Rattus norvegicus: one gene and its partners. The protein of the gene in region 3 binds, or shares a complex with, the protein of the main gene of each other region. Links are inferred from orthologs where the notes say so. Each region holds a gene or a part of one and is shown on either strand. Other genes may lie near its edges.

Region 1 (5,800 bases), on a different chromosome or scaffold from region 3:
TTATTTAAAGTGTGGTAACTCCAATAGTAAACCAATTGATGTCACAAAAGCTATTACTAAGTGATGTATGTGTGATGTTATCTACAATACTCAAACTGCAACAGTACAGACAGGAACTTTTAAACAGTTCGTTAATCATCATCTATGCCATGAATGTTTAAATATAATATATATTTAATATGAAAAGCTAAAGCACAAGTGCTTTCTCCCACCCTAAATTCTGTTTTGGGCCCTCACAGATTTGGAATGCATTCATATCCACCCTTTTCACAAAGTCAGGAGAGCTCAGGAAATATAAAGTCAAAAATATACAAATCTTTGTTGTTATTATAATAAGATTTTTTCCCATGAATGAAATTACCAAGGACCATGAACTTGGAAAAAGAAAAATCAAAAGGAATTTACAGCAATTATTAATCTTCAAAGTTCAAAACTGGTCACTTCCCAGAAAGACTTCAAGATTTGTTGAAATTTTTCTTCTAAAAAGTCGTTCTGTAGTGGAGTTTTCTAGGAAAAATTAAACAGCTTTACTAACTGGCCCGCTGGTGTGAGAGCTACCGTGGAATAAATTAGCACAGAAATGGAAAGGAGTCTTATAACTGTTCACTGTTACAGACATAATCAACAAGGTCAGTCACTCGCAAAAGCTCATCTTCATCCTCTTCTGGTGCCCCCACCTCCTGTCCACCACTTGTCCCATTAGGGGCTAGATTTGCACTGGCTGTGCCATTGTCCTTGGGGGTCTGGGACTTTTCAGTTGCTTTGCCCATCAAGTTCTCAATGGCCTTGCCAGGGCTCTGTCCATTGGTGGAAGGCAAGTCTACTAGGCTGTAGTCCAACGGGCTCCCTACTTTGCCCACGTTTTCAAAGTCCTCTTCTTCATCACTCTCTATCCGATACGGCTTCTTGCTGCTCTCTTGCTCTGAGGGTAGGACACTGGCCTGGCTCTCACGGGCAGGCTGGTCTGCATCCCCATGAGCACTGTCACAGCTCTCCTCGTCTGTCTCTATCCGGTGTAGCCGCTTGCGGGATGGTTTGCCTTCCTCCTCCTCCTCCTCATCTGCTTCTGAATATTCACCTGTGCTTCGGCCCCGTTTCCGAATGGATCGCTTAGATTCTTTTGTTAGTTCATCATCTTCAGAGTTCTTGGACATGTAGCTCTCTAGAATAAATAAACATTTAAGCTGTTGGCACAGTTAACATAAACACATTCAAGTACTTTCTTTCCCATACCAACCCCATCCTCAGCTCTTATGAAACTACTGCTCTGTTAAATTGACTGATATGATAGAATCGAACTCCCACATCCATCTGTAACAATGTTTAGTGATATCCATTGTGTATTTTACTTCTGATTTTAGGGGAGAGTAGATTTCTTGGGGGAGTCAAAGAAGAGGGGCATGTGATGGTTCTTGAATTAAGGGAAGATCATTGGCCACCATCTGGGAAACTCCTTCCCTTAGTCCTAAAATTGAGGAGTCACACAAATTAATAAGGAAAGATTAAACTGAAGGAAGGTGGCACATACCTATAATCCCCATTCTTGGGAAGTATAAGAAGATCAAAAGTTCAAGGATACCTTGGGTTATATTAAATCCTTCTCAAAACACCAAAAACCAAAAAGAAATCACTAGGCAAAATCACTCTGTGCACTCTTAGGGGATGCAACATCCTCTGGTAAACTGTGAACTGTGAATGTCCTCCTGTGATCTGTATTTGGTTTGTGAGTCATCTCACCAAGTCTTTGGGCTACACACACATTTACAAACTGATGAGGCTCCTGGTTTAGGCAAACTAAATTCTAGATTAGCTTTTTTTTTAAAAAATGTATTTATTATATACAAGTACACTGTAGCTGTCTTCAGACACACCAGAAGAGGGCATCAGATGGGTGTGAGCCACCATGTGGTTGCTGGGAATTGAACTCAGGACCTCTGGAAGAGCAGTCAGTGCACTTAACTATGGAGCCATCTCTCCAGCCCTAGATTAGCCTTTAGCATGTATGTTTGGGTATTTAAAGAGTCGTCTTAAATCTAATGTGAACAAAAAAGCTCCTAAAGGCCTTGCAGCAGTTTGGTTCTTAAAGCTTAGTTCACCTTGATTTCTCATTCAACAAAGAGTAAATGCTTTTGGTCTAAAACAAAATGATCCTTGGAAAGCTGGAGCAATGGCTTGGCAGTTAAGAGCACAAGCTACTCCTGATACCCATTTGCAAAGGAACAATGAGCACTTGTAATTCCAGTTCCAGGGGATCTGTTGCCCTCTATTGGCATTCATAGATACAAAGTACCCATGTACTGCGTGTGTGCGCACGTGCACACACACACACACACACACACACAAAAGTTAAATTTTAAAATACAAACATCCATAACGATTTTCCCTCTTACAAGTATGAACCTAGCTGCACACCCATCATCTCAGACTGGGACTCCTGCTCTCCAAGCTACTGTCTTTTCCCCCCTCTTTAATCTACTCATAGTATAGGTACTCTAGCAAACTAGAACCCACATGAGATCAAACTACTCCACTGCACTTCCTATATCACACAAAGCAAACTCATAATCCATACAATGGCCCATTTGCTTAATAGACACTAGTCGTGTGATGAATTTAAATTAATTAAAATTAAATAGCACTTAGTTCCATGCTCAAGCCAGCTAAATTTCAAGTGTTCCACAGCCACATGAGGATAGTATTACTGAATTAATCAGCATTAACACAGAATAGTCTAATTATTGTAGAAAATAAGCAAGACAGCTCTGAGATGATCTGAGAGTGTATTTATTTATGTAGGTGAGACCTCGTGTTCTATCTCAACTACTCATTTTTTAGGAAAGAAGGCATAGACAATATGTAAATATGCAGACATGACCATCTTCTAATAAAACCCGATCTGCAACACTGCTTACTTATGTCACCAAGTACACTGTAGCTGACATCTTTATGACACACTCAGTATTAACAACCCTGACTGACCTTCCTTCTGTAACCCTGACTGTGCTGGGCAGTCATCTCAGACTCTGAGGTAGGCATTCCACCTATGAGGGCCACTCCTCCTTCAGAGGACAAGAGAACTAGTCTCCTACATCCACATTTTTCCTGTTCTCATACTTTCAAACATTTACTTCACATTTAATTTGTAAAAGCAATATTCAAAGCACATCATAAATAGACAATGAAAGATTAAATGCTTAAAAAGAGTCAGCATCTTTCAAAATGAACTTAGGGGTCTAAATTAACAATGAAGTGGGTGTCATAAGTTCTTATTGAACATTTCTAAAGATCTACTTATTTTTATGTCTTCGCATGTGTGTCTGTGTGTGCCAGTGTCCTGTAAACATCAGAAGGCATCAGAGTCCTTGAAGTTGGGAGTTATGTGTGGTTCTGAGCTGCCTGCTGTGGTTGTTAGGAACTAGACTTTGCCCTCTGGGAGAGCAAGAGATTCTCTTAAGCACCAAGCAACCTCTACAACAAATGAATTTGAGGAGGGAGGTATTCGAGACCAGTGTTCTTTTGTGTGTATTCCTGGCTGTCCTAGAACTCACACTATAGACTAGGCTGGCCTTGAACTCAGAGATCCACTAGTCTCTGCCTTACAAGTGCTGGGATTAAAGGCGTGCACCACCACTGCCCAGCTATGAATGCTTTGAACAATTTTAAACACTTCTGATATAGCACAACTCAAGTTATTACATAAAAGCGATCCCAGATAAAATACTGAAACTACAGAAGGACAATAGGTAATTTGGTTTGAAAGAGCTTAGCTACTACTCAGTACATAGGAAGTTATTTCAAACTGGAACAAGACAAAAAGGAGCAGAGTAAATCACATTGTATGAAAACTTCATACAATGGAACCTTTAAAAATTAGTATCCTATTGAGTCATTTATTTCAATTATAATTAATAACAGGAGAATGAAACTTGTTTCATCCTAATGACATCAGCGACTGTATGCATTTTAAAGTAAAGTAAAGCTTGAGCACATTTCTTTCTAGGCAGCGTCCATTTCTGCTATGCCCTGCTCCCCACACAGGATACCACTTACCTTCGCTCTCTGAGCTGGAAAGTCTGCGCTTGTGAACTCGCCGGATCTCTTTACCACGTCGGAGACTTTTCTGGGAACCATCACTTTCCGAATCTTCTTTGTAGTTAATTTGTCTTTTCTGGTTCCTTCTTGATCGCCTTCGCCGGGTTTCTACAAACTCGTCACTAAAATCATCGCTAAAGTCACTTTCTGTTTAAAAAAAAAAGGGAATTAAAAAAAAATTACAAAATTTAAATCCATTGGTAGAAGTATACTTTAGCTTATGCTATAAAAATACAAGGTTACTAGAGTTTAGTTGTAAAAATTTAGTTGATTAAGATATATAAATCTGATTTTCTTTTAAAATAATATTCAGAACCAGGCAATGATTGTCCACACTTTTCATCCCAGCATTTGTGAGGCGGAGACAGGTAGATCTCTCTTCCTTCCTTCCTTCCTTCCTTCCTTCCTCCCTTCCTTCCTTCCTCCCTTCCTTCCTTCCTCCCTTCCTTCCTTCTTCTCTCCCTCCCTCCCTCCCTCTTTCTCTCTCTCTCCTTCCCTCCCTCTCTCCTTCCCTTCCTACCTACTGCCCAATTTCTGGTATTAGAGGCATGGGCCACCATGTCTAGACCTAAAGAACTGCTTTAAAAACAAACTTATTTGGAGATGAAGAGATGGCTCAGCAGTTAAGAGCACTGGCTGTTCTTCCAGAGGATCTGGGTTCAATTCCCAGCACCCACGTGGGAGCTCAAAATTGTCTGTAACTCAAGTTGCAGGGGATCTGATACCCCCACAGACACAAAACCAATGCATGGAAAAAAATAACATTAAAAAAAGAAAATATTTTTAGGATTTTATTATCAGTCAATGTTTGAGTATGTACTAGAAGTCGTGTAAAACCTTCTCTGGAATAAATGTTGTGAGTAGAAAAGCTAAGAAGTCCTGCTGTGTACTGGGTTAACTGGTTATTCACTTTCTAACATCTGAAAATATTCTCAGAAATAAGTGGCACCAGAAGGATTTATCACAATTTATCATTCTAAAAGAGTTTGGCTTGAAGGAAACATTAATTAATTTGTGTGAAATTTTTCAGAAAGCTCTGTATGTAATACACTACTAGCAAGTCATAAGAAAAGGATTTCAGAGTCTCATCAGGACGCTTATGTCACAGCTGAATGACTTCAACACCTTGTGACTCCAGAAGTCACAGAAGTAACCGAGTTGCTCTGATACAGACAGAAGGCATTTTTACCAGAGTCTCTACTATTCTCTTCAGATTCTTCTTCTTCTTCTTCTTCTTCTTCATCGTCATCGGAGTACTTCTTCTTTTGGGTCTTTCTCCGCAAACGCCTGCTTTGCCTCATTGGCCGAGAAGGATGCCGCCTCAGTCTTCGGCTACAGAAGTCAGTGTCACTGTCCTCATTGGATGGTGGCTCTTCTTCACTTTCATCTGGATTTTCATCAGACACAACAAACTCATCCTGAGATCTGTCCAGGAGAAGCCAGACACATCATGACGGTGCACTTAGAGTCTGTCTTGTTATGGTACTTAGAAGTGATAACCAGTTTTTCAAAGTTCCAAACACAATTTGTAAAGAATCCAGTAAAACATTAAGTAAATTTGAAGATATATTTGGACAATTATGTCAACTTTTATCTATAAAGTTAATGTTCTACCACCTGTTCCTTTCATTGTAAAAGATGTGAAAATAAATGCTGTAATTCACATATGAATTGCACTGACCTTTTTGGGTACGTCTTAAATCCAACA
Region 2 (6,495 bases), on a different chromosome or scaffold from region 3:
GAAGCCATGCCACTTAAGGCTTTGGGCCCCTCAAAGCTCCTGACACCTGCTACTTACACATTCAAGGAGGCGACCTGAACTCTCTTCTGGTTGGCAGTGCTGAAGTCAACCAAGGAGTCCAGGTCAGGCTGCAGGAACATGTCCCGCAGCCAGGTCACGTAGTTCTGCAGGGCTTCAGTATTCAAGAACCGCGTGACACGCCAGAAGGTAGGCATGACAGGGAGACCTTGATTGGTGATGGCCGTGAAGGCCACCATCACAGTGAATTGCCGCTTGGGATCGTCCTGGCACCCCTCGAGGAAGGTACCCACATATGCACTTATCTCTGGAATGAACCTTAGCGGGTTTTGGGACTGCAAGAGACGAGCATGAGTTTGGGTTACTAGAGTGAAGAGGCAGGAGCCACCACTTTCCCATCTTTCTCTCTAGTGATTAAATCCAGGGCTTCCCCACTCCAATTACACAGCAGGACTGAGGGCTGAGCCCAACTTTGCCACAACTCCATCAAAGCCTATCCTTGACCCCTTAGTTCATCCCCAGCACAAGAAGATTCCCATTCTCCCTCAAAGATTGAGGACAAGATGTTTTCCTAGTTTGACTGGCACAAAGGAAACTTAGGCTCAGGTCCTGATAGACCAGTACTGACCTGTGGCTCAAAACCCACTTGCTTCCTGACAACCCTCTGTATAGGGCCCCCACTATGACTGACAGGTGCCAGGCACAAAATGCAGAACACACTGGCGTCAATAACCACTCCCCCTAATGTGACCACCCCAGCAATGTTACAAATAGATGGCTGGCTGGGCCTGCTGGTGAGTGGGCCTCAGGACAAAAGGGCCTGATCACTGGCTAACCTCTTGTCAAGTCCTGCCATATTAGAACTTCAGAGGAAGCACCACTGCCCTGGCCCTGTGGGCAGCACTGAACCACACGGGAAGACACCTACCTTAGAAACGACCATGTGCTCCCCAAAATGTCGGATCAAGTCTCCTCGCATCACCAACTGCAACTGCTCATCTGACAGAAGCGGCAGAGATGCACCCAGTAGGCGGAAACACATGTAGCTATGGAGGATTGGGATAGAGTCGTGTCAGAGGCCCTGTTCTTTTAGCCAGGTTTTAGAACAGGTCCTACCCAGGCTGGAGGAGAGGGGAGACCAGTGTCAAACACACCTGGATGTATAGGATGGCTTCTTCAGCAGCCCCTCCTCCAAAACCTCCTTCCAGAACCGTTCAAATTTGTTCTCCTGAAGTGCCAGGCGGAGCAGGTTCAGAGCCACATCAGGCAGCTTCTGCTCCTTCTTTACAGAGTTGGCCGCCACCTTCAGTATATTCACCAGACTGGAAGGCAGAGGGGATTCAGTAAACATCACCCAGAAGACTAGAGTGCAGGATACCCCCAGCGAGAGCCCGCTCATAATCTCCTCAAACCTGGGAATGTTGTCTTCTGAGAACAGATCAACCGAGCCAACCAGTGACTCGAGCTCTGCTGGCACCCTCTGCCGAGCCAAGAGGAAGAGCTCCAAGTACTTGGGAGAGCTGAGGATCACTTTCATGTCCCCCTTGAGGACCTTTGGCAGGATCTCCTGGAACATGGACTCTGGGACCTGGAGTGGGAACACAGGTAGAAAGGGTGGCTTCTCCTAGCTCTTGTTTCTCCTTCTGGGTCTTGTTCTACCCAGGGGCTTCTGATACACCACCAGTCAGTCAGGCAACTTGCCAAGCATCAGACCCATAAGAGAGCACTGCCTCCCCAACCCCAGCATCCTACTGATGGCTAACTGGCCCAAAGGCTACATTTAAAATTGTTCCTCTTTTTATTTTTTTTAAGAGAACTAGCCTGTTTCATAGACACAGCCCTATGTGGAGAGCTGCACTTGAATTATGGTCTGTCTCCATTTGTGCCAAAAGGACAAATTGGGGATGAGCTAGTGGCAAATGACTCTAGACACGAGTCTGCCTTGGTCTCCCAACTAGGATAGATAGTGCAGACCCAGGCTTGACCAAACTATGGCAAATGTACTCAGGGTGCCTTCTACATATTCAGGCACTGACAAGCATGGTTCTAAACCCACACTATCCCCACAAAAGCTACCAGAGAGAGTTATGGAGGATCTAAAGTGCCTAACTGAATGGAGATGTGCTGTGACCCTGAAAGACAGGCCAGATGTAAGATACTGGGGACAGGAAGGAAAAAAAGCTCCAGTTGCATGGTGGTCAAATCATCTGTTCTAGTGTTGCTGTAACTAACCCTCATCTTCTCAATGGTTCCCCAATGAGACAGCATGAGCTGGGATTCTCTACCTCGGAGAGGATGTCCACCAGAGCCTTTACTGGCTGCCCCTGTAAGTGGTTGTAGTGATGGGACAATATCTTCAGCAATCTCACGCACTTCATCAGGGCTTCTTTATCCTGGTATCCAGAGAGCAGAGGGTGAAGTGCAGGGAATGCTATGGTCTGCTCCCCACCCCCAAACCCGTCCCTATGCCCAAAGCTCCTACCTTCACTAGGCGTCCTGACTGAAAGAGGGCAAGCACTCCAAACAGGTTTGCAAAGAGAGTAGGTCTCATCATTGCCTAGAAAAAGATCCAAACACAGGTGAACAGGGTCCCTCCCATACCTGTTCGGGGGCAGGCTGTCTGTCTGGGAGCCACACGGACCTTGTTCATTGCTTGTAGATTGTATTTTTCTTGTATCTGTCCCAGGATGTCACACAACTGGATGTCTTCAAAAGACTGCAACAGCTGCCAGCAAGACCAAAAAGAGCTCAGGAGTGGCCCAGGGACATCAAACCAGACCAAGTCAACTTCTTCCACTTTCCCCAATATAATCTTGGTCACTCTTCCCGTCCCTCACAAGGGCTAAGAAGAGTTTACCGCTTTCAAGGGACCAAATCTTACATTGCTAAGGCTTCAGAAGGCCTAGACTGCTTCTGTACATCTTGGAAAACCCCATCCCATCCACAGATCCTGTTCTGAGTTGCCTTAAGACTGACTCTACTCGTTAGCCTTCATTGCTTTTTGGTGTACGAATTTCTATGTGGTCTGCCATCAACTGCAACCCAACCTTGCAGAAGTCAACCTCAAAACTCACTACTCCCAGTAACTATAGCTAGTACGCCTGACAAACGTGTATCAGAAAGAAAACGTGTTTAACTCTCCCACCTGTCTGGACTTTGTTGTAGATAGGCCGTGTTTGGGCGCTTCCTTCCACCCATGTAAGGATGCCTGCATCCCCTCAGAAGCCTCTCGGATATCTCCTTACCCAGCAGCTGCGGTCCCCCTTACCCTTAAACTCCACTCTTTGCCCAGCGAGACTGTGCTCTTGCCAGACGCACCGCCTCACCTGTGCTAGCGCCAGACTGTAGCAGGGCCTAGCAGCTTCTCGGCCCACCCCAAGCCCAGTGATTAGGCGCTTCAGGGCATATTTCATCTCCGAATCCTACAGAAAAAAGAACATCCCTCGTGTTCAACAGTGATCTGAGAGGCCCACCCCTTGCCCCTTGCATCCAGACCCGCCACTGAGCCCGGGACCCTCCATCATACACTCGGCCTTGTGCGCAAGTACTCCAACAACTTCTCCGTGGCCCGGAGCCGCGTTTCCTGATCCGGCTTCGCGATGTCCCAGAAGAAGTCCAAGAACTCGCGACTGTGCTCCAACAGGCTGCGGCGGTCGCCTTGCGGCGCTTCTGCGGGAGACGCAGGCTCAGCTTTCGTAGGGCTCTTCATCTCCGCCATGCTGAACCAAACACGTGGGCTCGAAAGACAGTCTCTTCCAGGTCAGGCCTCGGCGCCTGCGCACTGGGAGTCCGAGTGGGGGCGGGGCCTAGCAGGTTAGGCGTGGATCCCAGACGGTCTCGCCTTTTCGGTGTGTCTGTGGGTGGAGCAGAGACCTGTGCTCGCACACGTGTGTAGAAACTGCAGCTTTGGTCTCATCCTTTACGCTGGCGGAGTTTCTGTAGACCGCCGTAATAAGATCTCTTCCCAGACCCGGGTCTGCTCGCGATCCTTTCAGAGACACCGGTGCGACTGCTGTTCTGCTTCTACTGTGTTCAGCGGAATAAAGCCGTGGCTTCTCTTCCTTTCTAGTTGGAAAAGATGGCTGATGAACAAGTAGCCAAATACATTTAAAATGACAGTTCTGAGGAAAATAAGGAATGTATGTAGCAGAGGGAGCCCTTTAACTGTTTAAATACGCGAAAACATCACCTGTTAGAAATTAAAGAGAAAATTCAATAGATCCTAAGATACTATTTAATAAGAGACCATGACAAGACTGACATGTGGGCTGACAGCTGAGGGACAAGATGGGCTCAATTGTCCCCCAGGGCAAAAAGAACAGGCCAAGGACATTTTTTCTACAAAGGCTGTTCATCTCTTATGGGAATGAGGTCAGTAAGAGGAAGAGGACGAAGGTTCTGGGAAGCAAGGCTGTATAGGATCCCGGGCCAGGCTCAAGAGTTCATAATTTCTTCTGAGTGTGCAGGGAAGGATTTACATCTGATTTATATTTTTAAAAGATCAACTGTTGGCTGAGAGCAGGCACGGCCTGTGCAGAGACAGTGAATTGGGCTGAAGTGAGACCTTGGCTAATCTAGAGATGGTCAAGGTGAGTGATGACTTGAGTCAAAGGAGATGATTGGCTAGAAAGGACACCAAGATAAAAGCTAAAATAGTTGAATAGGCGGTGGAATAATTGCACCTAGGGATGTTTTGTTTGACAGAGAAGTGAAGATGATCCACTCAAGAGTTCTGCTAGCTTGAACTTGGGGATATGGTATGGAAGTAGAATACCAGGCAAACATGTCAATGCTCTACATTTGACCCCCAGCTCAACAAAACAAAACAATTCACTGAGTATGTTGGTGGTCCTCTAACCCAGTGCCTGGGCCAGAATGGATTACATAGGGAGACTCTGCCTTAAAAGACAAAATTACAGGGCTGGAGAGATGGCTCAGCGGTTAAGAGCGACAACTGCTCTTCCAGAGGTCCTAAGTTCAATTCCCAGCAACCACATGGTGGCTCACAACCACCTGTAAAGATATCCGATGCCCTTTTCTGGTGTGTCTGAAGACAGCCACAGTGTACTCATATATAATAATAAATAAAAAAAATCTTAAAAAATTAAAAAAAAAGACAAAATTACAGAGATCAGGGATATGGCGCATTGGGTTAAAGCTCTTACTACTATTCCAGAGGATCCAGGTTCAGTTCCCAGCACCCATACAGCAACTCACATCTGTAACCCCAGTTATAGGGGATCCAAAGCCCTCTTCTGACCTCAGACAGAAGATGCATGCGGTATATGTACATATATGTAGTCAACACACACAAGATGAAAGCTTTTTTTAATTGAAAAAAATCAAACCCTCAAAACCTTAAATCAGAATTACCTTTTTCTTTGTCCGGTAGGAGAATTGCTACTGGATGTTCTTGCCCTTGGCCCGAGGAACTATTTCTAAAGGGTTGTACTCAAGAGATCTCAGATAAGGTCAGGGCCAGCCCAGTTCCAGCCCTTCTGTACCCAGAGACATCTCCTACTCATTGTCCCTCCTCTGCCCTGCCGTCTGCTCTACACGTGAAACTAAGAGATTTACCTTGCACAGGTGGAACCCCAGAAAGCAGAAGGTGGCTGGAGCAGGGGAAGCTGAAAGAGACCAGGCCAGGCTCCTCCCCCTGTGTTTGGTGTTCATCATCTGTGCTGCAAAGGGTAACAGGAAAGTTAACCAAAGAGCACGGAAGGCACGTTGTCCCGGGATATTTGAGTTTTATTAACTTCCAGTCCAATTGATAAAGATCAGCAGGGAATGGCCCAGTGGAAGATGGAGCGGACCACCCTGCCCAAAGACCAGGTAGGGAGTGATGACTCCTCCGGACTTTCCTGAAGGTGAGTTGCACTCAAGCTCTTTTTCATCACCCTCTAAGTCTTTATTTGATTTAAAAAAAAAAAAGCCAGAAATTCCATCAGCGAGGGTACCAGGAAACGTGGTTGGACCAGCCCTGGATGCCAGAGCTAGAACCAGGTAGCGTAACAGGATGCAGGGTTGTTGGAGCAGCAAACACATCACAGATACATTCTCTTCATACATTCATTGCTGCCAGGCCTTCTCTGTCTGGCTCTTAGGTTCCAGACATCTCTGACCCTCTGTTAATACCCCTGAAAGGGGCAGCAGCCACTAGGGATGCTGGAGACCTGGGCGTGTTCTGCATGGACTACTACCTGCAGTAGAGCCTCTTTGCCACAAATGCCAGGGCTTTCTGTGGGTCTTTGTTGGGCTTGATGTTGGACCTGCTGTTGGGTTTGGGGTGTTGTCAGATGATTGAACAAGGTGCAAGCCATGGCTTTGGCCCCTCTGGGGATCCCTGAAGCCACCAGCCCCAACATATCGTCTTCTGTGTCATCTAGGTTGCCACGGAGAATGAGTGGACAGGCCCAGGTACTAGGTACAGAGCTGGCTTCCAGGTTGCTGAGAAGAACGCCAGTACTTGGGGACAGA
Region 3 (5,800 bases):
TACCACTCTCAGGTTTACTATTCGCTCCAGAACAAGTCGCTGAATCATATGGCTCCCTAAGCATTTTTTACAAGTACACAAACTCACAGTGAAGAGTCTGGAAGCTAGGTTACAGAAGTAATTAGAAGATACAACTCAAGGTTTCCAGAGAAATGTTCATATCATGAATCTAAGTGAAACTTGAGATAAAAAGCATTTTGTTACTATTTAGAGAACTGCATAAAGCCAATTTCCTTATCAAGTACCCTGAAAAAATCTATTATGAATTTTGCTATGTTAAATAAACATCTTACAATCACTGTTATAACTGAAGGTTTTAACAGATATCATTAAATAAATGTTAGCCCAGCAAGAAAAACAAATAATCTTGAAACTATCTGTAAAACATCAAAGTATTTAAAAGAATTAATAAAACTTTCAAACTGAATGTGCTTTTTCCACACACATTTTTGTTCTTTGTAAAATAACTCTTGGCTGGCCTTTCATCCCAGCACACGGAAGGCAGAGGCAGGCAGATCTCTGAGTTTGAGGCCAACCCTGTCTGCAGAATGAGCAGGATAGCCAAGGCTACACACAGAAACTCTGTCTCAAAAAAATAGATAAAGAAAAAGAAAAGAACCCTTAATGTAACAAACCAAATTAATACCTTTAGAGAATTTGTTTACATAAATGTACTAACATGGATCTCTACAAAGGTCTCCCACCCACTCTAGATGTAGGAACAGACATTCAAATCTGAACTCCAGTTTGGCAACTATAATTGTAGTTGTAGACTATGAATACATAAACTATTTTCTGTCACACAGCAAACAGGTAACTATGTCACCATTTCTACTATGTAAATAATTGTTAGAGGTAAAGACTGGGTTATTACACAATAATAAAAGATGGGTGTGATATTCACTGTTCATTGTCAACGTCATATCCTAGTATTCTATTAGCCCAGAGCTGGGCCCCCCAAAACAGCAGTAGGTGATTATGTTGACTGCAGTATGTGCTGTAAGACCCGTCTTAAGTTGTGTGACTGTTCCCTGGGTTGGGAATCATGGATTGTTCAGAATAAAGAAGGGAACTGAGCAGTGGGATACACTTATCGCACTGTCTGCTTTCTGACTGTGAGTAAAGTAGGATCAGCTATTGCCAGCACCTGACCCTAGTACCCTTGACTTAGTCCCCAGATCAGCTATTGCCAGCACCTGACCCTAGTACCCTTCTTCCTTAAGCTGCTTTGGTCAAAGTATTTTGCCACAGTAACACAAAAAGAAAATAAAACAAAAAGTTAAACAAATCCCTCCACACTTGAAGGCCATCTCTGAATGTTAAAACACAATGTATAAAATATACAAAGATACTTGAAAACGCTTAAAAACAAGACTTTAACCTAGAGACCCTAAGGTTAAAATTAAATAGTCTTGATTGCCAAAAAGAAGAATTTGCTAACTCAGATGAAGAAACTGATTGGAAATGACTTTAAAGCCAAGGCTAAGCCAAGACTCAAAAGTGAATGAATTTTCAGAATACTATGCTGGTTTAGTAATAGGCTAGCTACATATGTATGAAAAAGTTAATAGCCATATCAAACAGCACTATTATTAAAATATAGGCATTAACCAAAATATTATTAACCACAAAAAGAGCTTACATCAGCTGAATTAAACACATCTGGTAACAAAAAGTTTAGCAGGGACCAGAGCTCGTGCAGGTTGTTCTGAAGAGGCGTCCCTGTCAGCAACAGTCGGTTTGTAGTCTTGAATTCTCTCACTATTTCTGACAACTGAAAGAACCAGAGCCCATTATTAGAACATTTTGAATCACTCAGACACAAAAAAATGTTCATATTAAGTATCAAATTACCTTAGATTTTTCATTTTTTATCCTGTGAGCTTCATCTATAACTAAGTATCTCCAGTTAAATTTTTTGAACACAGACTTCTCTTTAATAAGCATTTCATAAGATGTGACACATACATCCCACTCTCCTGGTAATAGAACATCCCTGACAAATGCAGCCTATAAAGAAAAAAAAAATTACACCACTCAAGTCAATTATACATTAAATTCACTTAAGTAATCAAAACCAAGGAAGGAAGGAGTCTAATAAACAGCAGGCATTAAATGAACATCAAAGCCACCATCTCACCACCATCTCACCACTGAAACTACTTCCTTATCACCACAGAGTCAGTTTAACTTAGTTTCAAAAGGTTGAAGGGAATCACAAAATTCCATGGCCTAACTTTAAACTATCTTTCTACAGTTCACCAGGTCTTGCCATCCTTAGGAAGCAGGGTTTGTAAGATAAAGGAAGACTGACAGTTGGCAATAGATGGTCTCATTCTTTTGATTTGTAGATATATTAACACATTACTGTTATTGTTCTTATTTTATAGATAAGGATATGAAGTTAAAACGCAGAAGTAGCTGACTTCTTCAAACAAAAAAGCAACTTGGTAACTTAAAATAACCCACATAATCTACCTACTGAGGGGCAAAGAACTCTAGACAGTTCCTGGAGGATGACTCGGGGGTTAAGAACACTTGTTCTTAGAGAAGACTAAGGTTCAGTTTTCAGCACCCACACAGTGGCTCAAAACCATCCCTAACTCTAGTTCCAGAGGTGTTGACTCCCTTTTCTGGCTTCAGTGGAAACCAACATGCATGCAAAGTACCCATAAATATAAAATAATATTTAAAAAAACTAACCTCAACTAATTAAGTGTAAAATCATTTAATATAATCATTTAATCAATGAACACACTTGATTATATCCAACTTCCAAATCTAAGTTCTTTATTCTTAATAGTGTTGTTATTGCCATGACTTTGCCCTAAAAAGATGTGGCCCGGAAGTCAATAATTTAACTCATATTTGTATATAACAGCTCACCAAATTACTAAATTGACTCAACTCATATTTAACAATTACTATTCTATGACTATTACCACTGTACCCTAATCTAGAAATCTGGCCCCTCAAATTTCTAATGGTTTAACATATTCAAAAAAAACAAGTTAATATTTCCAAATAAATTATCTAGGACTTTATACAATGACTTCCAAGGGGAGAAACAAACTGAAAATAAAATTAAGAAATTCATTTAGCTTTTTAGTCTTTAAAGCGTTCTCAGTAAGATTCTTGAATAACCACAAGTAGTGTATAGTCATAAATTACTAACAATCCTTTTTAATCCCTTCTCCAGTTATTTCATCTTAAGTCTAAATTTAAATTCCATTAAATATTAATAGTATAAATACTTACTCTTTGCTCTTTATCTCCTATCAAGCAAACAGACCTAAGTGTTGGCACCCATCTCTTGAATTCACTCATCCAGTTGTGCAATGTAGACTTGGGAACCAAAACCATATGAGGACCAGGAATATTTCTATAGTGTTTCATGTACCCAAGAAGAGAAATTGTTTGCAGAGTCTTTCCCAAACCCTAAAAAATTCATAATTCAACATTAAAGAATTTAATTGCACTAGTCAAATTAAAAATTAAACAATTAAAAACACCCTTCCACACTTATAGACCCATCATATTTAGGAACATTTAGAACTATGACGAGATTGACTACTGTGTAAGTGTACAGTTACGTCACATAAGTCTATAAGGAAGGTATCAACATCACCTCAAGACTCAGAAAACGCGACATCCCCAAGTAACCAATCAGAGGCAGGAGCGAGATATATCTGACTGCATACTTACCCCAACCAATTGTTTAAGCACTACTTTTGGAAGGATTAAAGTCTTCACTAAATAACTAGTAAGTCATGAACAGAAGATACGGTGTTCTGTGAAACTAAACCCTGTGAGCTGACTTTTAATAAATGGAAAGAAACAGTCAAATACTGCAAAAACAAGAAAGTTATCAAAATGCATTATTTTAAAATTTACTCTAGTGCAGAGATGGTTAACTCTTCACACGTGAAGACGTCACTTACGCAACTAAAACAGTGGATTATAGTGCTTTAAGGAAAAAATAGTTATAATCAAGCCAAACTATCCATCTCTCTTCTGCTACAGATTTAGTCAAACTATCTTAAGTTACAACAACAAGAACACAAACATCTTCAAGCTTTGAGATTAGCAAATACATACCATCTCATCTGCAAGGATACCATTGATGCCATTCTCATACAGAGAGATGAGCCAATTCAATCCTCGGACCTGATAATCTCTCAGTTTACCCCATTTTACATCTAAAAAGTAACAACACACAATGCTCATTTTAAGGACAAGAAATATAAGATAGGGCTGTCTTTTATCTGATATTCAGAGGTTTAACTGGAACCTATAGGTGTCTACTTCTCCTTTCTAGAGGATACATATATTATGGGGTTTCTGCAAGGTGAAAGTCATTAAAAATAGGTAATGAAATCTGGACTGAAGAAGGGGTAATTGATACAAGTAACTGATAGTGAAGCTATCAGATGAGGAACTCTAACTACTAGCATCAGAGTAACTCATCGAAATCACTCAATCCAATGTTAAACCACATTGGTCTTCAGAGTATCTCTGGCCTCTTTCCCTCTCTTTTTTGTTAGCACACTTTTAACCGAGTGGTTTCATCTTCATAAAGATCAGATAGTAGTTCTCTGAAGATTTTCCTTTCTCCCCATTGAGAGTGGAAATAAAGACAAGAAATTCTTTCCAAGTCCACCCTTTCTATTCCTTAAGTCCGTTCTCTGATAGATGGCACATAAGGACCCATGTCCTTCAGTACACAGACATTACTTGTACTTCCCGGGATAAATCGCTGCCTAAGAATGAAAAGCTCATCAGGACTGGGCACACGAGTTACAACTGGAGACAGAAATAACCTGAATTTCCTTTCCAGCTTGTTATACATGTAGCTCTGGCCTCTAGCTTGATTTGAAAAGAAAAGGCCGGGGGAAAGGAAAGTGTGTGTTAAAAGTGGTCCAGTGGGTGAGTAAACTGTTCAATAGTCTAGCTAAGCAGGACTCCAACTAAAACCATTAGTTGTCCACAGTAATTACTCATCAAATAACAGGAGTTGCAGTAAAACTAGGCTTCCGTGAAGATTATAGAAGCTTCTAATAACCCTATCACAAATCAAGATTATTTATAAGTAAAACTAAGCTGTTTTCATATAGAAAAGCACTAATACATTTCACAAAAATATCCATCATCAATAAAAGCAATTATTTTTCATGATTTTTCCCCTTTTATAACATTTCCTAATTTGGGAAAAGTGTATGGCAAAAGTCATTCCATTTTACATGGATTTTAGAACCCTAATAAGCTGAATGGCATCTTCATATACTTCTGAAATGTACCATACTATTGTCTCTCAACTCTAGGGATCAAAGTCAGAGCTATCCACATGCTATCAGCACTCTATAGCTATATAACTCCAACCAATATATTAACATCTCAGATTAAAAAAATACACTTAATATTTATTCAAAGCCAGTAACTATCCACGATTACTAAAAATTTCTATATAAATTATAGGAAAAGTAAATTCAAACAATAACTAAGGGATTTTCAAAGGAGGCTCCTTTGGAAAAAATCAAATGATTCAAAGAATTTAACTTACATGATGGAGAATCTTCAAATCGAGTACAAACATTGGTTGCTTTGGAACTTTCTGTTAATAGCTCTTCATCCTCCTCTTGCTCTGTTCTACGATGTCGGTAGCTGTCAAAATGAAAACAAAAATCAATTTATAATGAGTTTTATTTGAACACAGTAGCCAAATGATGATATCACAATAATCTTAACAGGCATCTAAGTTAAGCCAAGGATACAGAGTATCTCAGAGGTAGAGCATAAGTCC
Region 4 (5,800 bases), on a different chromosome or scaffold from region 3:
CAGCCAACCACATGTGTGGGTGAAAATGAGAGATTTGGGGGTCAGTTGTCTCCTTGCACTACGTGTTTCCTGGGGAATGGGCATCAGGCTTGGAAGAAGGCACTTTCCCAGCTGACATCACCCTAACAAACTTAATTATTGTGGCATTTTGATTGACTTTCATATATGTAGAAAACCTACTTTTTACAGCAGATAGCCCTTAAAAGACATTTTAATGACCAATTTTCCTCAGTTTAACAAATGTTCTTTTTACCTTTGATTTTTTTGGTTTGATTTAAAAACAATTGGGATGTTTGGGTGGTTGGAAAAGGTTAGATGTTATTTAACAATGAACTTTTGGTTAAAACTAAATTCTATATTTTTAGTGATTTTTGTTTTTGTTATTCTAAATATAACTTAACTGTTCTCTTTTAGGATTCAGTAATGCTGAATGGCTTTGGCACAGTAGTCAATGCTCTTGGCAAACGAGTCAAACCATACTTGCCTCAGATCTGTGGTACAGTTTTATGGCGTTTGAATAATAAATCAGCAAAAGTTAGGCAACAAGCAGCTGACTTGATTTCTCGAACTGCTGTTGTCATGAAGACTTGTCAAGAGGTAATCTTTTCTACTAGATGAATCTTTTTTGAACAAGTGGCTTAATGGAAAAGTAACATCTTTAATGTTTCTTTTATTTAGGAAAAACTGATGGGGCACTTGGGTGTGGTGCTGTATGAGTATCTGGGTGAAGAGTACCCTGAAGTATTGGGCAGCATTCTTGGAGCACTGAAGGCTATTGTAAATGTAATAGGTATGGAATTTGCTAGCCATGTGAGGGTTTGGCCTTTTAATTTTCTTTGTGTTTTGAAAACAAAATATAAAGTTGTATTTAGGAGTTTGTTTTTTAATCTTCTTTTCTTGAGCACTTTAGGATTGTCAGAATGTCACAAAAATCTCACTCATTATTGTCTATTTATAGTTTACCTAGAAATGTTAAAGGAGGGCTGGAGAGATGGCTCAGTGGTTAAGAGCACTGACTGCTCTTCCAGAGGTCATGAGTTCAATTCCCAGCAACCACATGGTGGCTCACAACCATTTGTAATGAGATCAGGTGCTCTCTTCTGGCCTGTAGTCACATATGCAGGCAGAATGCTGTACATAAAATAAATAAATCTTTAAAAAAAAAAAAAGAAATGTTAAAGGCGAAATTTAGTACAGAAATTTAAAGTACAGAAATAGTTATAGCCCAAAATGTTTTGAGTTAATGGGAGAGAAGGCCCTAATAGAACTAGTACATCAGCTAAAAAATAATCTAGGATTTTCTATAAGGGAAGGCGCAGTCCTGAGGGTGCAGTTTTAGAAATTTTTTTTTTTTTTTTTTTTTGGTCCTTTTTTTCGGAGCTGGGGACGAACCCAGGGCCTTGCACTTCCTAGGCAAGCGCTCTACTACTGAGCTAAATCCCCAACCCCTAGAAATTTTCTTTATCTACTCTCCTATGTTTAGGTCTTTTGACTGGTTGTTGAGTTTTTTTGTTTTTTTTGTTTTTGTTTTTGTTTTTTTTTTTTTGTTTACTATGAGTTCAAAGAACTCATACTTTTAAACCATACTTGGTTAAAAAGAGTTATCTGTCTTGTCTTTTATCTGTAATTAAAAACACAAAGGACTGTTGCGTTGTGCAGTATTATTAGAAAAGGGGCACAACCGGTTCCTGAGCGTCATTGCTCCATGCTGGGCCCCTGGTGCTCTCAAACCCAGGAGGTCACTCCCTGGTGTTAGTTCTTGCACTGTAGGGCCATATAACTAACCTTAATTTATCTCAGCGGCGGCTGGCTTCAGTGCGGCAGCACGCCATGTTAACCTAGCTATCTTCTGGCCCCAGCGGTCTCTCCACTCCCATTGCTAGTCACCCTGGCCAGCTCAGAACTCTGGTCCCAGATACCTGGCAACATCAAGACTCAACAAACTGTAACCCAAAAACCAGATTTATATGTTAAATACTCAATGTACAATACATCCACACAATTAACTTACAACCAGTTGATGAGGATGTGAACAGCCCACCTACATAAGATAAATTTGCCTATAGAAATCTACCCCAGCTACCTTGGCAATTGAGGACTACCAGGATCTGGGTCATCCTTCCCAGTCTCCATTTTGATTCTCCCTCTACCTCCTTCTCTCCCTCCCTATAAAAACTTTGTCCCCATCTTATTCTTTTACTGTCCAATCATGGCCTTGATCTGACTCGTGCCAGCCCTCACCTGCCTAATGGCATCAATCTACACAGGACAGTCTCCGGTATGGAGAGACAACTTTTGTTTTCAAGGAATTATGATGAAGGAAACAAAAGGATTTCTGTGTTTAATTGTGTTTACACATAGTGTTGAAACTATGTTTAGGACTGAAAGGGGTGGAAAAGGCTAAGAGTTCATTATAACTGACTGCTGATAATCACCATTTTCCCCCTTTTGGGGAAAGGAATAAGGACTATTATGCAGTATAGAGCTTTGAACTGTTGTATTTATATAGAACCCCCAATATAGCCCAGATTTATACAGACAATGACTTGCCAAACAGTCTTACTCACTCGTGGTTCTCTGATTTGCCAGAATTATAGACTATATTGTTTGTCTAGCAAAGCAGTGGAGAATCAGAGCAAATAATTCTAGTTAGATCAAGAGTGCCTACTAGCTGCCTCTTTCTCTCTTCATAGATCTAATAAATAACACCTAGGTGTGCCCTGCATTTCAGGGAGACTGGAGGTCTGTTTAATTTTGCAGTTACAGGGTATAGGGACCCTTACTGATTTGATCTGATCTAACTTTGGCTTCTGTTGCTATATTTGGCCACAACATAGGCTGTTCCCATATTTAAAAGTAAGTTTACAAATAACATTTCATAAAATCTTTCTATTACTGAGTAACCCTCATTTTTAAAATCACTTTACTGATTTCTTCTTTTTTTTTTTTTTTTTTTTTTGGGGTTTTTTTTTTTTTTTTTCGGAGCTGGGGACCGAACCCAGGGCCTTGCGCTTCCTAGGCAAGCGCTCTACCACTGAGCTAAATCCCCAACCCGATTTCTTTGATTTCTAAATGTAACTAGAAGCTGTTAATATTTTTAAGAATTCTAAGTCCAATTAGAATCTGGAGCTTTTTTATCCACCGGTAGCTTATGAGTTCATATTTTTGCATTGTACTGTAAAAGGAAAAATGAAAGACTGCAATTCAGGTTTTAATAGTTCCTTGATTTCTGTCAAATAGGTATGCATAAGATGACACCACCAATTAAAGATCTGTTGCCTAGACTCACCCCCATCTTAAAGAACAGACATGAAAAAGTACAAGAGAATTGTATTGATCTTGTTGGGCGTATTGCTGACAGGTAAGAAGATTACATAGCAACACCAAGTACATATTTAGCTCTCAAGTATAGACAGTATTTAGATTTAGCAAGATTTCACTTTAAGTGGTAATAGGAAATAGCAGTGTGGGTGTCTTCCTCCCTTACCCTGACTCCCCAAACAGGGTTTCTCTGTGTATCTTTGGCTGTCCTGGATCTCACTCTATAGACCAGTCTGTCTGTAAACAGAGCTACCAGCCTCTGCCTCCCTCCCGAATGTTGGGATTAAAGGCGCAGTATAGTTGTAAAACAAAGTCAGGCTTGCTTTCTTTTCTCTTCTTTTGAGACAAGGTCTGACCGTATCCTTGGCTGGCTTGGAACGCACTATATAGACCAGGTTTGAACTTCGATATGCTTTCTAAGTGCTGCTGAGATTAAAGCTGTATGGCACCACTTAACAAGTCAACCTATTTAAAAGGGTGATAGTAGTTTTCACTTAATATTTAAGATGAGTTAGTGATGATTTCAGAGTTGAATATGCATATTTACTTTGTAAACTTTGATTAGGGTAGGAGGTGCAGATTGGTAGTAGAACGATTTGGCATTCATGGGCCCTGGGCTTCATCCCCAACACTGCAAAAACAAACATCAAAATACCTTGATAACAACCATGTTAATTCATTAATTGCATTTTTTATTTCTTTTAATTTAGGGGAGCTGAGTATGTATCTGCAAGAGAGTGGATGAGGATTTGCTTTGAACTTTTAGAGCTTTTAAAAGCTCACAAAAAAGCTATTCGAAGAGCTACAGTCAATACATTTGGTTATATCGCAAAGGCTATTGGGTGAGTTGTGTTTTTAGTAGGTTATAGTAAACCTATTGATTGGTGTTCGAAAGTACTTCCATGTAGACATCTTTTGAGGCAGAGTATAGTTAGTCATTTGAAGAAAAAGCATTTTATTTAAACACTGACCTGCCTTTTCCTATTTAAAAATATTTTCTTAAATTTTTGATTGAACTCTGAAGGCTTTAAAATTTACCCTAGAGAAGAATAGATATTTTCAGAGGCACATTCAAGTTTTTGTTGGTCTTCTTTAGGATATTGCTTTTTTTTTTTGAGATGGGGTTTATCCATGTAATCTTGGCTGTCCATGGAACTTGGTATGTAATAGACAGACGAGGCTGGCCTCTTAGCTCTTAGCCTGTTTCTGCCTCCCTAGTGCTGAGATTAAAAACATATCAAGAGCATGTACTATCAAACCTGGCTGGAATATTGCTTAAAATAGTAAGGAGTGAGTATTCTGCAGTCTTCTAGTTTCCACAGACTCGTTGTCAGATTGGAATTTGGAATTAGATGGTTGAGAATTGCCGTGTGGGTGCTGAAAATCATCCCAGGCTCTCTGGAAGAGCACTGATCCATGCATCCAGCCCCCCTTTTAAAATTTTTTTTTTCTTTAATGGTTTTTATCTTCATTTGTGTATGTGAGGGTTGTCAGAAGCCCTGGAATTGGAATTGCACCAAGTGCCATCTACCATGTGGGTGCTGGGAATTGAACCTAGTTCAACATATAATATTTCTATATAATTCATATCTTATATTCATTTTCTGTTTTTTTAAAACTGCATTGTTCCAAGACTAATTCATAGATTCATTTGCTTTATGAATTCATTTATGGTTATTTGCTTCATCAGAACTTACCTGAGAGAAGCAGTTATAATTGTAGAAAAAGAGACTACCCATGTGTATTTTTCCAGTGTTCTGATTAGCTTCAGCTGTAAACTGGACACAGCCCAGAGTCACCTTAGACAAGGAATTGCACAGATCACATGGCCTGTGACCATGGTTGTGAAAAGTTGATTCATGTGGATAGTTATAGATAAGAAAGCAAGTTGAGCATGAGCCTACAAGTAAGCCAGTAAGCACCATGCCTGCGTGATTTGTGTTTCAGTTTCTCTTTGGCTCTCTGCCCTGACTTCCCTCAGCAGTATATATACTGTGACCTGAACATAGAAGCTAAGATAGTGGCTGGAGAGATTGCTCTGCTCTTAACAGGTTCTGAGTTCAATTCCCACAACCACATGGTGGCTCACAACCATCTATAATGGGATCTGATTCCGTCTGGCACACAGGTGTATAAGCAGATAGAGCACTTACTTATTTAAACTAAAATAATGAATAAATCTTTTTTTAAAGAAGCTGAAATAAACCCTTTCTTTCTCACATTTCTCACAACTGGGAAGTAATTTCCTAAAACATACCAAAGTCTGTTAAGTTAGGTAACATTCCTTCAGGATAGATACACATCCCTTCATTTCTTGGGAATAGAACTGTTTGTGTCTGTGGTGGTCTGATTGTAAAACAAGTTGCAAATAAGATACAGTAGCCCTAATGTCTCTAAGTGTTAGTACAGGGGTATGTAAAAGCTGGTAGGAGGCAGCCAGAACCAGGTAGGGTGATTGTGCTTAAGGTAACCATGGGCG
Region 5 (6,484 bases), on a different chromosome or scaffold from region 3:
TGGAAGAAGTCACTTGGTTTCTGGTACACAGTTCTGATTCTCCTCCATCACTGGCTACTGTTGCTTTATAGCTTCGCAGCTGGCTTTCCTTCCTCTCTCAAACCCACAGACCTGTAGCATCCAGAGGTTCAGTCTTGAAACTGTCTCTCTTTGTTGCTTGAATTAATCTCTCAGCACTACCTTTGTTCATCCTGTGGGTGACGTCATCCAGTGTGTGTACGTGTGTGGGGGGAGGGCTTTATAGGACAACCACAGGTTGACAGCTGCTAAGTCTTTACTGTGAGTTACTCCTTGCTTCTTCCTTTGAACCCTAGACACTCACATCCAACTGCTTATGTTATGGTTTGTATATGCTTGGCCGAGGGAGTGACACTGTTAGAAGGTGTGGCCATGGAGTAGGTGTGTCCCTGGGTGTGGGCTTTAAGACCCTCATCCTAGCTGCCTGGAAGCCAGTCTTTCACTAGCAGTCTCCAGATGAAGATGTAGAACTCTCAGCTCTGCCTGCACCAGGCCTGCCTGGATGCTGACCTGCTCCCACCTTGATGATGATGGACTGAACCTCTGAACCTATGAACCTATAAACCAGCCTCAATTAAGTGTTGTCCTTTACAGGACTTGCTTTGGTCATGGTGTCTGTTCACAGCAGTAAAATCCCAACTAAGACAGGTTATTTTAATTTCCGCTTTGGTGATGACACATCTCAATCTTCTAACATCTCTAAAACAAAGTAAGTTCAGACCTCCCACAAGCTCCTCCCATCTCCTTCAACCTTCCTTCTCCCAATCCAACTGTCTGAACAAAACCAGTCTTCACTCTCATCCTCTTATCCCTTATTTCCCACATCCAGTAACTTAGATAACCCTTTAGAGCACACCCATACTCTTGTCTCTCATTGTAAGGGTTTTTTTTTTTTCAAGTGTCATTTTATTAACAAAACTTCCTTTAATCATTGAGCTTTAATAAGAAAAGCTCCCTTGGCCCTCTGGCAGCCCTGTGGTGAGGGACAGAGGACTTAGTACTTATAAAGCAACAATTGAGAATGGTATCAAAACAGTGATGGCCTGGAGGGAGGAAAAACACTTGGTCAGAAATAAGTGATGGAAAGGATCAAGTTCACTGAGGATTAATAAGAAGAAGCAACCCTGGCCATTGAAGTGTAAAGACCAGATAGTATGAATGACAGCCGTGTGCAGGAACCCGAGGTAAGGCTTGTGTGACTGAATGGCCAATCATATCAGGGAGCTATCAGACAGTCAGTAGCCGCATTATGTAGCATCTTACACATTTTCATACGGAAATTTGAGGGTTATTCCAAGTTATGATGCAGCCATCTGAGGTTTTAAGCAGAAGGTCAAACTAAATGAAATTGCTTTGGCTGGGATGTGACTAGTGGGAGGAGGCTTTGCTGCAATCCAAACTTAACAATGAGCAAAGAAAGGTGGGCAGAACCAGTAGACTGGGAAATGGCCTAAGATCTGAAAGCAGAAATAGCAGGACTTTGCTTCTTCTAAAAGGGACGCAGAAGAGGATAAAGTCTAACTTTTGTCCCGCAACTTGGGAGTCTATCATGGCAAATGAAACCAACCATATTTCCACCAAGTTGACTGGATTAAAAAACAAAACAAAACAAAACGAAAGGGTAGGGAAAGATCATTCGGGCAGCTAGTGTTCTCAGGGTAAGAGAGAGAGTACGTGAGGAGATATTGTTTTTAAACTGTGGACTCTAAAAGGATCACTGGGTTTGCCTAGAATTCTTGACAGGAGAGTGTGGATTGGACAAATATTCTATCTGCATTACAGGGGAGACCAAGGGGGAGGGAAAGGAAAAGAATGATTTGTCTTACATTCACCGGTTTGAAACCTATTTATGTCGCTGGTGGTGTGAGCCCTTAACGTGGTGGTGGGTCCTTGTCACGGTGCAGCGTACTGGCGACGCGAAACCTCACAAGTAGGTCACACTTGGGAGCCTTCATCTCGAACGAGCTCTAGGAGACGAACGTGGAGGCTCCCGGTCAACCCGGTCTGTAGGGTGATTACTGTAGGGTGAAGCCGTGCGGGGAAAAGACTTCTGCGAATCCCTCAACTTCGCCACCTCCAGCCGCTCCCCGGCTCCGCGGGCCCAGGACAGCCGGTCATTTTCTCCAGATCGGGAGGTTAGAAGCTCGCAGGCCCCCTAGCGTCCGACCGTTCAGCGCGGAGGCCCCGGCTCGCGCCCGCCACCCCGAGCACCCACCCGCCGGGCGTCGCGACCCGGTCCTGCCGCGGACCGCAGACCCCTCCCGCCCCCGACTCCTCCCGAGCAGCAAGAGGGAGACGACGACGCCCGCCTCCCGCGCCCTCCCGCCCTCCCTCCCGCGCGCGCCAACTCCCAGCGCAGCGCGCTGATTGGCCGGCGCATTCCCGCTCTGCTTCCCGAACCGCCATTTTGAAAATCTTGTTGATTCTGAGGAACCGAGAGCGAGCGCGCGGCTTCGCGAGGACCTCGGCCCGCGCGCCTTCCACTCAGCGGCGGCCTTCTCGTGCGCACCCGCGGTGAGGACCGCAGCAGGGAGGCGCGGCTGCCGCCCCCCGTGGCGGGGCAGCGGGGAGGAGACGCGGCCATAAGCACGGAGGCCTGCCGCGGGGGAGGGGACGGGGCTCGGCTCTGCTCGCCTTGGCCAGACTGGCCTGGCCCGGCCCCGGGCGGCGCAGGCCGAGCGGGAGCGCGCGCTGGCGGCTGAGGGGCGGTGCGGTTTCCCGCCTCGGGCATCCCCGGGGAGGCGGGCGGAGTGACAGATAGGGTAGGCGACTTGGAGGAGAGCTAACACGGGGCGGTCGCTACGCTCCTGCCCGCGGGAGCGAACGAGCAGGCGAGCGAACCGAAGCGTGCGGCTTCTTCCCCGCCCGCAGGCTCCCAGCATGTCGGCGGCGGCAGCCCCCGCTGCGGAGGGAGAGGACACCCCCACGCCGCCCGCGTCCGAGAAGGAACCTGAGATGCCGGGTCCCAGGGAGGAGAGTGAGGAGGAAGAGGAGGAGGACGACGACGATGAGGATGAGGAGGAAGAAAAAGGTGGGCAGGGATGCGCATCCCCCCGGTGGATTTCTTCACATCAAAAGTTACCCCCTCCCCTCCTTTGGGGAGCAGTTATCTTGCTTTTTAATGCTTAGAAGCATTAAGTCGGAGTGGTTGATTTCACGCGATTGCTAACAATTAGTGGTAGAAAAATCTGTGATATCTCCCCCCCCCCCCTCTCTCTCTCCTTTTGAGTATTTGCCGGGGTTTTGGTGCAAGTGTAGCAAGAGTTTTCCCAGTGTGCCTTCAGAACGCTTCGTCGTTCACCCAGAAGTTTGTAAGTCAGATCTGCCTTTTGAAGTTACCCTAACTAAGGTTCAGTAATGGAACTTAACACTACAGGTATTCTTACTAATCCTGGAAATGTTTTTTCATGTCCATATTCTCGGCTCTTTGTATCTGCTGATTTTTTTTCTTTTTCAGTAAGGGTTCTTGGGGGAGCGCTTTTGTTTGCCTAGGGCTCACGGGTGAAAGCTGTTGTTGTTGGAGAAAGTAGTTAAAAAACGAGAAAACTGAACTGAAAGTTAACATGTGAGCCCACAGCTGTCTCGGTTTTGGAACTAATTCTGACCCAAGGAAGGTGGTAAGAAGCATCATTTGAATAGAGGCTGAGCTGTGTCAAGTAGCAAGCATTGTGTCAGTCAGAGCGCATGCTGTTCCTCTACAGCAGTCTTCTGGACTAGTCTCAGCTGCTAGAAGACCCCAGGCACAACTTCACAGTCTCAACTTAATGGTACAGATGGCCACAGCGCAGCCAAACTTGAGAGCAGGCCTAAAGGTTAAAGTGCTCTTCCCAAACTGCCACTTCTTTTCATAAATATCATCTAGGTTAAGAGTTCAAGGCGTACTTATTATTTGAAGTGGTATGTGCCCTAAGACCTTTTGGGGGTGTGTCATTTAAGTACAGCATTGGCTCTAGTTATAAATTTTAGTAAGAATTGTTTCAATTACTTTTAGGTTATTTATAATTGGTGTTTTATAAAGTCAGTGATATGTACGTATGTATGATGTAACGGGGGGACGTACCTCGGTGGGTCTATGCTAAGACATCCCTCCTCCCTGAGGTACCAGCCCCCCCATGCGTGTAGTATAAAGTAGTTTATTTGGAGGCATGAGAAGGGGAGTTAAGAAAGGAGTAGAGAGAGAGACACAGGCCAGGAACATAGGGGGAAGGGGGAATGGGAGAGGAAAAAGGGGGGCAGAGAGTTAAGAGGCCAAACAGACCCTTTTATAGCAAGCCAGGCTTACCTGGTTGTTGCTAGGTAACTGTTGGGCAGGGCCTAGAAGGAATGCTAACAATAATGTAATGGCTAAACGTTGACTACAGTAGCTCAGTGTAGCTAAGACTTCAACTTCCTAGAGGGGCAGAGTTGTGATTATAGAGGCGGTGAGTTTTCTTGGGCAGAAAGACATTTCGAAGTTGGATACAGAAGGCCCAAACAGTAATGTTTGCGGAGGCTGGCAGTGAGTGATGCATAAGACCCTGGATTTTGTTCTAGCTGAATAAGTCAGTTGTGCGTTTAAAAGTGATTTTTGTAGGTTTAGTCCTTCACGGTTTTAGAGTTTGTTCATAATTACTTAGTAATTACTTAGTTTTCTCTTTGGGGTGTTTGGGGTAACTGGAATTGCAGGTTTCTGTTCTGCTTGTCCCAGAATGCTTACCTTCAGTTTAATGACAGAAAGATGTGGGGACAGTGAAATTACTGAAGTCTGTGACGTATGGCAAGAATTGGAAGTGGTTCTGGGGAGGTGAGAGTCAGAACTGTGGCTCTCAGCTTTCCTCTGTAGGGTTCGGATGATGATGCTGTGCTGTAGAAAAGCAGGTGGGCCAGCTTGGCAGTGGTCCTGAGTCTTTTGGATATATTGTTTGGGTTCCTGCAGGACATAGTGGGGCTTCAAGGTTACAGTGGGGTGTGCTTTACTTAGTTTGAAAGCTCTGTTCCAGGGTTAGATCACTGTGAACTTACTAATATCCTGATCCAAAGCAAGTGAACAACTTAGGACTAAGAGGAAGCTGGGTGACTATAGGAGCTCTTCGACTCACTGCTGTCTTTCTCCATTTATTCTTTGCAACTCTATATCCCCCAAAGCTGACCTATCTTGGAAAGCCTACATGAATGCTTTGATTCTTTTTTCCTTCCCAAATAATAATCCCCCTTCAGCTCACAAAAATTTTTGTTTTTAAGATTACTTTTATTTCCTTTATAGGGGTGTTTTGCTTGCATGTATGCTTGTACACCAAGTGCTTGGCCTGGTGTCCTTAGGGGCCAGAAGGTGCCTGATGCCAGAAGGTGGAGTTAGAGATGGTTCTGAGCTGCCTGCCATGTGCTCCCTATCTAAACACTGGTCCTTTGAAAGAGCAGTGAGTGCTCTTAACCACTGAGCCATGTCTCCAACCCCTCACAAAGCATTTTGTATCTTTTATTTATTGTGTGTGACTAGCAGTGGTGGTGCATGTGGAGGTCAGAAGAGAAATTCAGGGAGTCATTTATTTTCCACCATATTCCTTCTGGGGCTTAGCTCCCCAGGTGTTAGACGTGGGTCACCAGAGTTGGCAGCGAGCACCTTTACATGCTTGGCAGTCTGGCTAGCCAGGCTCACAAACTTCATATGTGTTATCTTTTCTCTTTCCAAAATTGAATGTTGAATCTAGGGACTTGGAACAGTCTAGACATTTTATCATTGAGCTATACCCTTATCCCTTAATTGTATTTTTCTTAAAGATATTTATCATATTTTCACTAAGCGGTTTTTTATTTTCCTAGTCGAAATTTCAAAAAAAAGTTTAATCTCATTCTTTTGAGTATCTGGTACAATTTGAACACAATAGACATTCGTTTGAATGAAGAGAGGACTTGCACAAAATAGTTTTTTATTTGACTAGATTTCAATCAATAAGTAAGTGGTCTTTAATAACTATAACTTAATGTTTTAAGCTTTATATACCACATATTTCCTGGGGTTTTCTTAGAAGTCTGGGCTGACAAGTACTTAACTTTCTCAGAGTGACTTATAGACACATGAGCATTGTTATTAAACAAAGTAATGTTCAGCCAGCTGTCTTACAACAGGTACCAAAATACAGTTAGAGGAGAAACATGCTCTAGAGTTTATAGCACAGTAGGATGACTACTTGGTTTAAATAATTTACTACATGTTTGTATGAAAATTCAGACGATTTGAGAGACCCATGACAAAATAAAATGAGATTGAAATACAAATTATCTCTTTACATTTTCTATACTTATACATTCTCCTGTGTGTGAGAAAGAAAGTGAAAAACTAGGTGATTTTTACCAACACATGACTAGATTGTAACAGTGATGACTGTAACTGGAAGGCGGTTTCTGTTATTAGACCGGCTGTCTGACAATAGGTAAAATGTTAGTAAAATAACAACTCCCACACCGCTTCATTCACTTCTTACAGCCA

The links.
Region 1: Smarca5 (region 3) and Rsf1 share a complex: the UniProt entries of both Homo sapiens proteins name them as parts of the RSF-5 ISWI chromatin-remodeling complex. The link is inferred for Rattus norvegicus from reciprocal best matches to the Homo sapiens genes SMARCA5 and RSF1.
Region 2: Smarca5 (region 3) and Mybbp1a share a complex: the UniProt entries of both Homo sapiens proteins name them as parts of the B-WICH complex. The link is inferred for Rattus norvegicus from reciprocal best matches to the Homo sapiens genes SMARCA5 and MYBBP1A.
Region 4: Smarca5 (region 3) and Sf3b1 share a complex: the UniProt entries of both Homo sapiens proteins name them as parts of the B-WICH complex. The link is inferred for Rattus norvegicus from reciprocal best matches to the Homo sapiens genes SMARCA5 and SF3B1.
Region 5: Smarca5 (region 3) and Dek share a complex: the UniProt entries of both Homo sapiens proteins name them as parts of the B-WICH complex. The link is inferred for Rattus norvegicus from reciprocal best matches to the Homo sapiens genes SMARCA5 and DEK.

The regions. Positions count from the first base shown.
Region 1 is NC_086019.1:161,414,467-161,420,266, reverse strand, and holds part of Rsf1 (remodeling and spacing factor 1), read right to left. Parts: intron 5,518-5,800; coding exon 5,282-5,517; intron 4,240-5,281; coding exon 4,051-4,239; intron 1,163-4,050; coding exon 594-1,162; 3' UTR 1-593. UniProt on the Homo sapiens protein: Regulatory subunit of the ATP-dependent RSF-1 and RSF-5 ISWI chromatin-remodeling complexes, which form ordered nucleosome arrays on chromatin and facilitate access to DNA during DNA-templated processes such as DNA replication, transcription, and repair.
Region 2 is NC_086028.1:57,552,715-57,559,209, reverse strand, and holds the start of Mybbp1a (myb-binding protein 1A), read right to left. Parts: upstream 3,753-6,495; 5' UTR 3,737-3,752; coding exon 3,545-3,736; intron 3,441-3,544; coding exon 3,345-3,440; intron 2,744-3,344; coding exon 2,660-2,743; intron 2,576-2,659; coding exon 2,501-2,575; intron 2,412-2,500; coding exon 2,304-2,411; intron 1,607-2,303; coding exon 1,431-1,606; intron 1,341-1,430; coding exon 1,173-1,340; intron 1,065-1,172; coding exon 947-1,064; intron 354-946; coding exon 58-353; intron 1-57. Other genes in the region: Ggt6 (glutathione hydrolase 6), read right to left, coding at 6,147-6,495. UniProt on the Homo sapiens protein: May activate or repress transcription via interactions with sequence specific DNA-binding proteins. Repression may be mediated at least in part by histone deacetylase activity (HDAC activity).
Region 3 is NC_086037.1:44,182,076-44,187,875, reverse strand, and holds part of Smarca5 (SWI/SNF-related matrix-associated actin-dependent regulator of chromatin subfamily A member 5), read right to left. Parts: intron 5,662-5,800; coding exon 5,561-5,661; intron 4,200-5,560; coding exon 4,099-4,199; intron 3,439-4,098; coding exon 3,259-3,438; intron 2,011-3,258; coding exon 1,855-2,010; intron 1,775-1,854; coding exon 1,643-1,774; intron 1-1,642. UniProt on the Homo sapiens protein: ATPase that possesses intrinsic ATP-dependent nucleosome-remodeling activity.
Region 4 is NC_086027.1:63,991,078-63,996,877, reverse strand, and holds part of Sf3b1 (splicing factor 3B subunit 1), read left to right. Parts: intron 1-414; coding exon 415-597; intron 598-678; coding exon 679-790; intron 791-3,240; coding exon 3,241-3,361; intron 3,362-4,031; coding exon 4,032-4,163; intron 4,164-5,800. UniProt on the Homo sapiens protein: Component of the 17S U2 SnRNP complex of the spliceosome, a large ribonucleoprotein complex that removes introns from transcribed pre-mRNAs.
Region 5 is NC_086035.1:17,784,703-17,791,186, forward strand, and holds the start of Dek (protein DEK), read left to right. Parts: upstream 1-2,436; 5' UTR 2,437-2,532; intron 2,533-2,646; exon of another isoform or gene 2,647-2,780; intron 2,781-2,889; 5' UTR 2,890-2,898; coding exon 2,899-3,049; intron 3,050-4,293; exon of another isoform or gene 4,294-4,439; intron 4,440-6,484. UniProt on the Homo sapiens protein: Involved in chromatin organization.